Linked DNA regions of Drosophila melanogaster. The protein of the gene in region 1 interacts with the protein of each later gene in a pairwise test. Each region holds a gene or a part of one and is shown on either strand. Other genes may lie near its edges.

Region 1 (3,924 bases):
CTTGACGGCGATCTTACGGCGCGGCCTTTTTAGGGTCTTGTGTGGCCTGTCGGCCAGTTCAAAGTTCAACGAGGTCTTCAGCATGCGCTTGGATGCCGTCAGCTTCTTCAGGATGGATCTGTAGAGTCCCATGAACTGATCGGGTTGTGGCTTGGCCTTCGGCAGTGCCTTTGGGTTCTCCAGAATGAATCGATTGAGCAGCTCCTTAGTGCCTTGTTGGTCCTTTTGCGATTTTAGCAGTTCAACTGAAGAGGAAATAATGACAAAGTTAGTGAAGAGTTCAAAATGAGCTTTAATCTAAGTCGCAACCCACCTTTTTCTTGGCTTAGTCCGAGTGTGTTCTTGAAGACGCCCCAATCGTCCTTGGGCCCAGTCTTGGCTGGATTCTTCTCCGCGCTCTTGATGTAGAGAGCCAGGCAGCTTTGCTGGATGGCCGCCAGCAAAATCAGAATGATAGCTTTTCCCAACTGCATCTTCAGATCGATGTGCTTCGTTCGGTGGTTGTGGCGAATGTGATGTCCTGTGCTCCTGCGTAGCTACCCTTATATACCTCGATCCTTTCGGACTGATCCGCATCCGCGTTAATTGACATAACCGCACATCAGCGTTGCGTGGCTGCGATAATCAGACAATGGCTGCAAAGGCGCTTGACACTCGAGACATCCGGGGCGCCTGCGCAAGGACCACTTTTGGCCAAGGAGTCAGCCCAGGACGACATGTGCTTGATTGAACCTCCGACGCGCAGCGCCTGCCTTTGTTTTTCTAGGGAACACTTAGCGCGAGCCGCGGCAATTAAACGGCAAACTGAGCGCACACAAAAATTAGTGCTTACGCATCTTGCCTCAGACGGCGGCCAGGTAGACCGCGTCCAGTCCTCAGTCCTTGCCACAGGACCAAGCTGGACGAGGCAGAGCAAGGCGACACCCAACGACAGGCGACTACTAGCGGCCAATGTGGGAATCAAAGTGCGTAATTGAGTCGCTTAAAAGCGCCAAATGGTTTCATGAATGTACCGCTCTCACCAGGCTCACCAGGTAGACGCTCGCCTTTCAAATGCGAAAGGAAGTACAAATAAATCCTAGCGCCAGCCATAAACGGATCAACTGCGCCGATCTCAATCCGCTGGTCTCCGCTCCTGCTCATCGACAAGTTCTGCGCTCGCTAATTATTCCTGAATGCGGGTTTTATTGATGCAATATAAATAATGCAAATGCAATTTGTGGTGCATGCAGACAAGGGGGTGGTCCCTAAAAAATGTGCCATCTAAGTAAGCCATTGCCACTGTCGCTGCCACTGCAGCTGCGGAAGACCAGCATTGAGTTTTCGACGGGTAATTATGTAATATGCATAATGACAATAAATAAAGTTAGTCGAAATATACATATGTATGTATGTAGGTAACCAGGGAAAAGATTAGGTTGAATGTGGAATTAGCTTTATTTAAATTAAATCAACAAAAAATGCACAAGGTGAAGAAGTAGTTCTATATATTATATCAATTTTTCACATTTAAAATATGTGACTTGTCATACAATTTACCAAATATTTATAAGTAGGGAAGTTTTGTGCCTTCTGTGCTATAATACAAATATAACTTTGATACATTCCATCAAATTTTATAGAAAATAGCTATTGAAAAAATAGCTAATTGAAAATGACTAGCGAAATGAATGGAAATTAAATAGTTTTTTATTTTCTTAAAATATAGCTATGCCTTAATATTCAAGGCTAAAAAGCAGTAGGTAATCAATCGTTCAAGGGCTTACCTACTATTTTAAAAATACTAATGTCAATTTTAAAGTTATTCTCTTCATGACATGAAGCTTACTACTATTCTTTTGCTAAAAGGTGATGGCCATATGCTATTCACAACCTGCTTGCTCTATTTTAAAAATGTTCGTTACAAAAAGACTTTTGGGTAAAATTGTTACCCTACTTCAATTTTACATGTAGACACTTAACCGAGAAAAAAGCAGTAGAAATTGATATACGAAGCAGGGTAAAGAAGTTCAAATCTAATGCCAAAGCAGTTACAAACCAGTACAACGGTTATTTAGCCCAGACGCAAACCAGAATCAGGAAGTAAAGTAATGTAAAGTAAAGTTTTCAACCGGAAGAAGGAAATGTTCGTTCTTATAAGAAGTTATTTCAAGCGAAACCCACACAAAACTAATTAGAATTACGAAAGTTTTTTAAGCAAATTACAATTTTTATATATTTTATTTGCTACAATGAACAGACTAGCACAACACAATACATATTTCAATTTCTGTCACATCTAGCCGTTAAAATATATATTTTTCTACAAACACCGTAGTTATAGAAACGAAGTTTCTTGTTTATTATTTTAAAGAGCCGGCAATTGTAACCACGCCAAAATGCCGAAAGTACTGTTTCAGAAGTACAAGAAGGTGGTGAGCAACATCGACCCGAGTCGCTATAGCGCCAAGTTCAAGGAAATCGACGAGCAGAGGCGCTCGCAAGGTTCGGAATCGGATTTTGCAGATGAAATGGAGGGCGAGTTCGAGGCGGAAATGGAGGAAATGGGATCTAGTGAATTTAGTTTATCCGAAGGAGAACCATCGCTCAATATCGGAAAGATCGATTTATCCTTTCCCGAAACAGTCGAGGAGTTCGAAAACAGTCCCCAGTGCTATCCTCCATCGTACTATACCCTCTCGCCCAAGGAGCGGTTGCTCCTGCTGTACGCTGAGAATTTCCGGAAGCAATTGGTTCTCAGCTACCCAAAGAGACGAGCCATGGTCTTGGCCCTGCCCAACGAATGCAAAGTACAGGTGAAGTCAGCACCATCTGCTCCTTTAGTGGCCAGCGTTTTGATAAATTGCCACTCTTAACCAACTTACAGAAATTCGTTTGCACCACCATCAGGCCAACGGCGTTTATTTACACGCAACTCATATCAAGTGTCGAGGAAATTGCCAAGTTTGTCGCCGATTTCATTCAGTATGAGCCACTGCAGGATCCCATAAATTTGGTAAGTCTATTATGGCAAAGTTGAACCAATCACATATCCATTATTCTTATGTTCCGAGCTCATGTAGCAATATATTTAAAAGTTTATGCGTTCTAAAATGTTCAATAACTTGACCAAGGCAATTTATACTTGTAAATATAAAAGTAAAACATTTAGGTATTTTAGTAGATATATATGAAAAACCACTTAGACCCTCCAATACGACAGCGGTAAGTAAATACGACGACAGTTCTAAGAGTTTCATAAAAATTATCTAATTATTTTTTATTGAACATGTATTTAAAATTACATTTAAATTTGTAAATGTTTTTATTTAAATATCGCATTAATTCCGAATTAAGAAAATTCTTTTGAGCACATTTCCATAGTTATTAATATACGAAATTTAAAAACGTTTGATATCAAATGCATGCCATTCGCGCCAACACACCTTGCAGTTCGAAAAGTATTTTTTCTTTTTCGTAACAAAAACTAAGGGCTATAACATTTTTCTAGAATGCATCATTGGGTGAAAAAACAAACTAACAAAACAGAGTCGGTTGTCTTTCCGTTCAAAAAGAAATGCATAATAGCTACAAATAGAGTTTCTCGATATATACACGTTAACCGTACGATTAATTAATTAATACAATGCAATGCAATGCAATGGAGTGGATTCGAATTGAATTGAAAGATACTGAAAGTATGCTCGATAGGTTTCACAGCTAGGAGATAAATTCAGTGGAGTCCTCCGGATGCGTGGAACCATGTGGTCTAACTGCTGGAGCTCAGTTCGTCGTACTGCTGGTACTCGCCCGTGATCTGGCAGTCGTCGGGGTCATCGTCGAGGTCACAATGTACAAATTCGTAGGGAGGGAAGAACAGGGAGCTGAGTAGGGTGGCCGACGATCGGTAGACGGCCGGCGCATAGACATGGCACCTCGTCGAGC
Region 2 (3,924 bases), on another chromosome or scaffold:
ATGGACGATCCTTGGGATGTGATGAAGCTCTAAGCTTATGGATAACTAGGGGTTCTTTCGCCCGCCACTGCGAATTAGATTCTGAATTTACAAAACTCGTTTGGGCGGGAAAACTCCACGACTAAAAGATACCCGTAGTGATTTCGAATTAGAACCTAATGATGGAAAATCCAATACTAATTATAATAATATTTTTTACTTTGAAATATACGCGAAGTATTTATTACAGACAATTAAACAAACTCATTTAATGCAAATTGGGTATATTCAAAATAATTTGTTTTTAAACTTTGAAAGGTTTCGCGACGAGATACCTTTTAAACGACATATTAGGTGCCCCAGTAAAATCAAAATGTGTATGCACAGATAATCTATATTTAATCGTAAATACTAAATGTTAGTTATAAAATGTACATGTATTTAAGGATAACTCTCTTCCATTCAGTGCCGTAGGTTCCTAGAAAATGCGCAAAATCTCATTTATTGACATGGACATGGCATGAACACCTGAATTTCTGGCTGGGGGTTATGACTGGCCACCTCATTGAGGGCAGTCAACTTTTAATTGTCGACCCCAATTCGTGGCCGAAATCAATAAGCCAATGGCCCCAGGCGAAACTTTCAGTAGCATTCTGTGGCTCAGTCGTTGTGGAAGTTATACAGATTAGCTTGAGAGACATAGTGAGTTCACTTAAGCTAATTAAACACTTTTCGCTTTGTTCTATAGGTGGTAAAACTTAAAATGATTTCCATTTCGAAAAAAAGTAAGATCATTGGAATTTAAGTAACTACTACATTTAGTTTGTCAATGCTTGAGTTCATTCAAAAACTAAAATTTGTGTTACTTTTAAAAATTGCATCGACAACAGCTGCACTACATCTACATTTTTCGACATGGAATTACAATATGGTAGGGATTCCTAGGATATACTTGGATTATTTGGCTCACAGCTCCTCCTTGTCGCCCTTGGCTTTTTCCCTTTTGGCCTTTTTAGCCTCCGGAGGAGCAAGCTGCTCCTTGAGGCATTCCCTTTCGGCCTTTTTCTTGAGCACATGGTCCTCGCAGAGATGCTTCTTCAGTGACTTCTCATCCTGGTGCTTAAAGTACCATTCGCTGATGGTTTCCTCGTACTCCTCCAGTAGGTTTTCGCACTGGGTCTTCATTTGGGTGACCTCCACCGGGGGCTTGTCCCACAGCTCGTAGGGTATTCCCAGATCCACCTTGACGCCCTTGTCCACAAGGCCATGGAGCGTCTGGAAGGTCTGGGACATACCTTTGGCGAATCTCGTGCTGTCAGAGCGTTCCTTGTGCAGATTGTACTCCAACACTCGCTCGCACACGTTCTCCAGGGACTCGAGCAGTCGCAGTTCGCTGCGCCGGTATTCAGTGCGCTTCTTGGGCTTCACATCGTCAACGGAGTATCCGATTTCGATGACGTCGTGCGACTTGCCGGTCTCTCCAAGTCGAGCTTCCAATTCGGTGGCCAGGATTTTGCAGGCTTCGCAGCGGTTTGCGTAGCGAACGCCTTGCTCCTCCTCGGGCGAATCAGCTCCGGCTAACTGCAGGACGACCCAGAGTGTTACAAAGCCAGGCAGTCTTTTGAGGAGCATTTTCACTGCTTGATAAATTCCAAAAAAACAATAATAAACCTGACGTGGAAATGCCGCTCGCGAGAAGACCAGTGCTGCAAAACACCAACAACCGAACGGAACCGACGACTTAGCTTTTTCCCGCCAATACCTTTAAAATAATCTATATCAAATCTATTTTCTTTTTTATGATTTATTATCCTACATACATTTAAAAAAAACTTTTATTTTATTTTATTTGTTTATTAAAACAGAAGTCATGCTTAAACGGTTTATTAAAATTGAATCAATATGGTTTTATTATGAATGCCGAAACATTTTATCTGTAACAAGATGCAGCTTTCAAATTAACGAACCAGATGTTCTTACGTTGTTTAAATGCAATTAAAAAATTCCCATAACATTTCTATCCATTCCAATATGTTCTCTGTTAAAGACATTAAAAATCCCACGATAATTGAAAATTCGGTTAATGGTCGCCTTGTTTTAAAAAACAAACAGCTGGAATTAGTTCAAAGTCCAGTAAATGACTATTGAGGATCGCTGTTTTCGAACTCGGTCTGAAATACGCTGGGTATTTGATTGACCATGTCACTGGCCAGTAGGCTGCGGCCAAACTTTTGAAATGCAGCCGCGTTTAACTTTTTCACAAAGTAACTAGAGGCACATGCAGCTACCAGGGCGGGATTGGGTTCACCCGACTGCAGTGACCACGAGAAGAAGGTGGCCAAAGATCCGGAGAGCAGGTCACCTTGTCCACCGCACCTGCGACCGGAACCGCCGCTAGGCATTGAGTGAACTTCGTTGCAGTGAGGGAGATAGATCTTGTCGTTGGCGCCCTTCTCCAGGACAGTTACTCCGGCTCCCAGGAGGGACATTTTCTGGCGCGCCGCCTGGTCATCCTCGCCAAACAGTCTCTGGAACTCCATGACATTTGGCGTGAGTATGACATTCGGCTGTCCACAGATCAGATTCAGATTGTCGTTGAGCAGAAACAGTCCATCGGCGTCTATGACAACTGGTTTCTTGGTGTCCATGCACAGCTTGAGTACGTTGGATGCCGTCTTCAGGATGCCCGGCTCCCGACCCAGTCCAGGTCCAATAACCTTAACGATTCTAAATTTAGCATTTAATTGTATAAATGTAGCATATACGTATGTAGGTGGGGGGGGGGGGCTACTCACAACGACGTGAAGTCGCTCTAACCAGGGCGCTATTCTCTCCACTGCATCCACACAGTCTAGCACTGGATGCACGATAAGATCGGGACTGTAGGACTTGATAATGGCCGACGCATTTGAATGGCAGAACACATGCGCCAGGTCAGCGCCCACTCTTATCGAGGAAATGGCCGCGAAGTACGGCGCTCCGGTGTACTCCAGGGACCCACCGATCACTCCAATGCGTCCGTACTGTCCCTTGTGCTTGTTGTTCACCAGCTTGGGCACCACCGTCTTGAACAGAGCCAGCAGCTTGGGCAGGTGCACTGGAATATCCGAAACTGCAGCCATCTCTACCGGCGGCAATGGTTTTCTTTGTGGACTGTGCCCGCTGTTTACTATTGCTGTGACTAGTGATGCACATTGTGGTCGGGATTTCCTATCGGTTGCTGCTATCACTGTGAGAAATACTTTGTTCCCACGGAAGCCGTATTATCAGTAGTTAAAGCTATAGAAAATGAAAACATGGAAAAATGTGAGTTAGCTAATTATTCTAAAATAGATTTTTTTTAGTATTTTACTATCATATTTTTGTATTATTTCTTAATTAATTCAAAAACTATTCAATTCTTTAAGTACTCTTCACATTGTATAGTTACACTATACATTCTATACACATCACTTTCAACTCTTTTGCTTATCAATCAAAATTCCCTGCGTTATCGACCAGTAATCGACTTTGAAATTCACTTTCAACCGCTGCCCCGGCAACCAGTGGGCTCCAAAACAAAGAACCATGCGCTTTCGCCCCCCAATTCTCGATTCCCGCCCCAAGCAGTTGGCTATTTTCCGGCAGACTTTCACTTAGGATCAGGCAGCAAATGTCCCACAAGAGATTCTACGTAAAGTTAGATCTGCAGCTCCATGCGGTTTGTGGCTATGTCGATTGAAGTGTACCTGTGACATCAAGGCTCCTTCCATTTTCAGCTCACTTGTCCCGGTGTTTGGCTTTGTTCACACGGATATTTGGAGGCCACCATCAAGACCTTGGGCTACTACTTTCGAACTGGACCCATGGAGCCTCGCTTTCCGATGCTGTGCCACGATCAGTTCACGATGGAGGGATACTTCAAGAGCGTGGGCTGCCTGGAGGAGATGCACGAGCTACTGAAAG

The links.
Region 2: the proteins of lobo (region 1) and CNPYb interact in a two-hybrid assay, tested with the Drosophila melanogaster proteins (one large-scale study listed by BioGRID).

What each region holds. Positions count from the first base shown.
Region 1 is NT_033777.3:25,192,109-25,196,032, reverse strand, and holds the start of lobo (lost boys), read left to right. Parts: upstream 1-2,256; 5' UTR 2,257-2,378; coding exon 2,379-2,795; intron 2,796-2,866; coding exon 2,867-2,995; intron 2,996-3,226; exon of another isoform or gene 3,227-3,748; coding exon of another isoform or gene 3,749-3,924. Other genes in the region: CG13653 (uncharacterized protein), read right to left, coding at 1-245, 314-473. UniProt on the Drosophila melanogaster protein: Key component of the nexin-dynein regulatory complex (N-DRC), essential for N-DRC integrity. Involved in the regulation of flagellar motility. Involved in sperm motility. Required for the sperm to enter in the coiled storage seminal receptacle (SR) tubule.
Region 2 is NT_037436.4:19,094,532-19,098,455, forward strand, and holds CNPYb (canopy b), read right to left. Parts: upstream 1,687-3,924; 5' UTR 1,612-1,686; coding exon 946-1,611; 3' UTR 359-945; downstream 1-358. Other genes in the region: MESR6 (misexpression suppressor of ras 6), read left to right, coding at 1-33; Naxd (NAD(P)HX dehydratase), read right to left, coding at 2,121-2,696, 2,775-3,101; CG14079 (uncharacterized protein), read left to right, coding at 3,632-3,679, 3,738-3,924.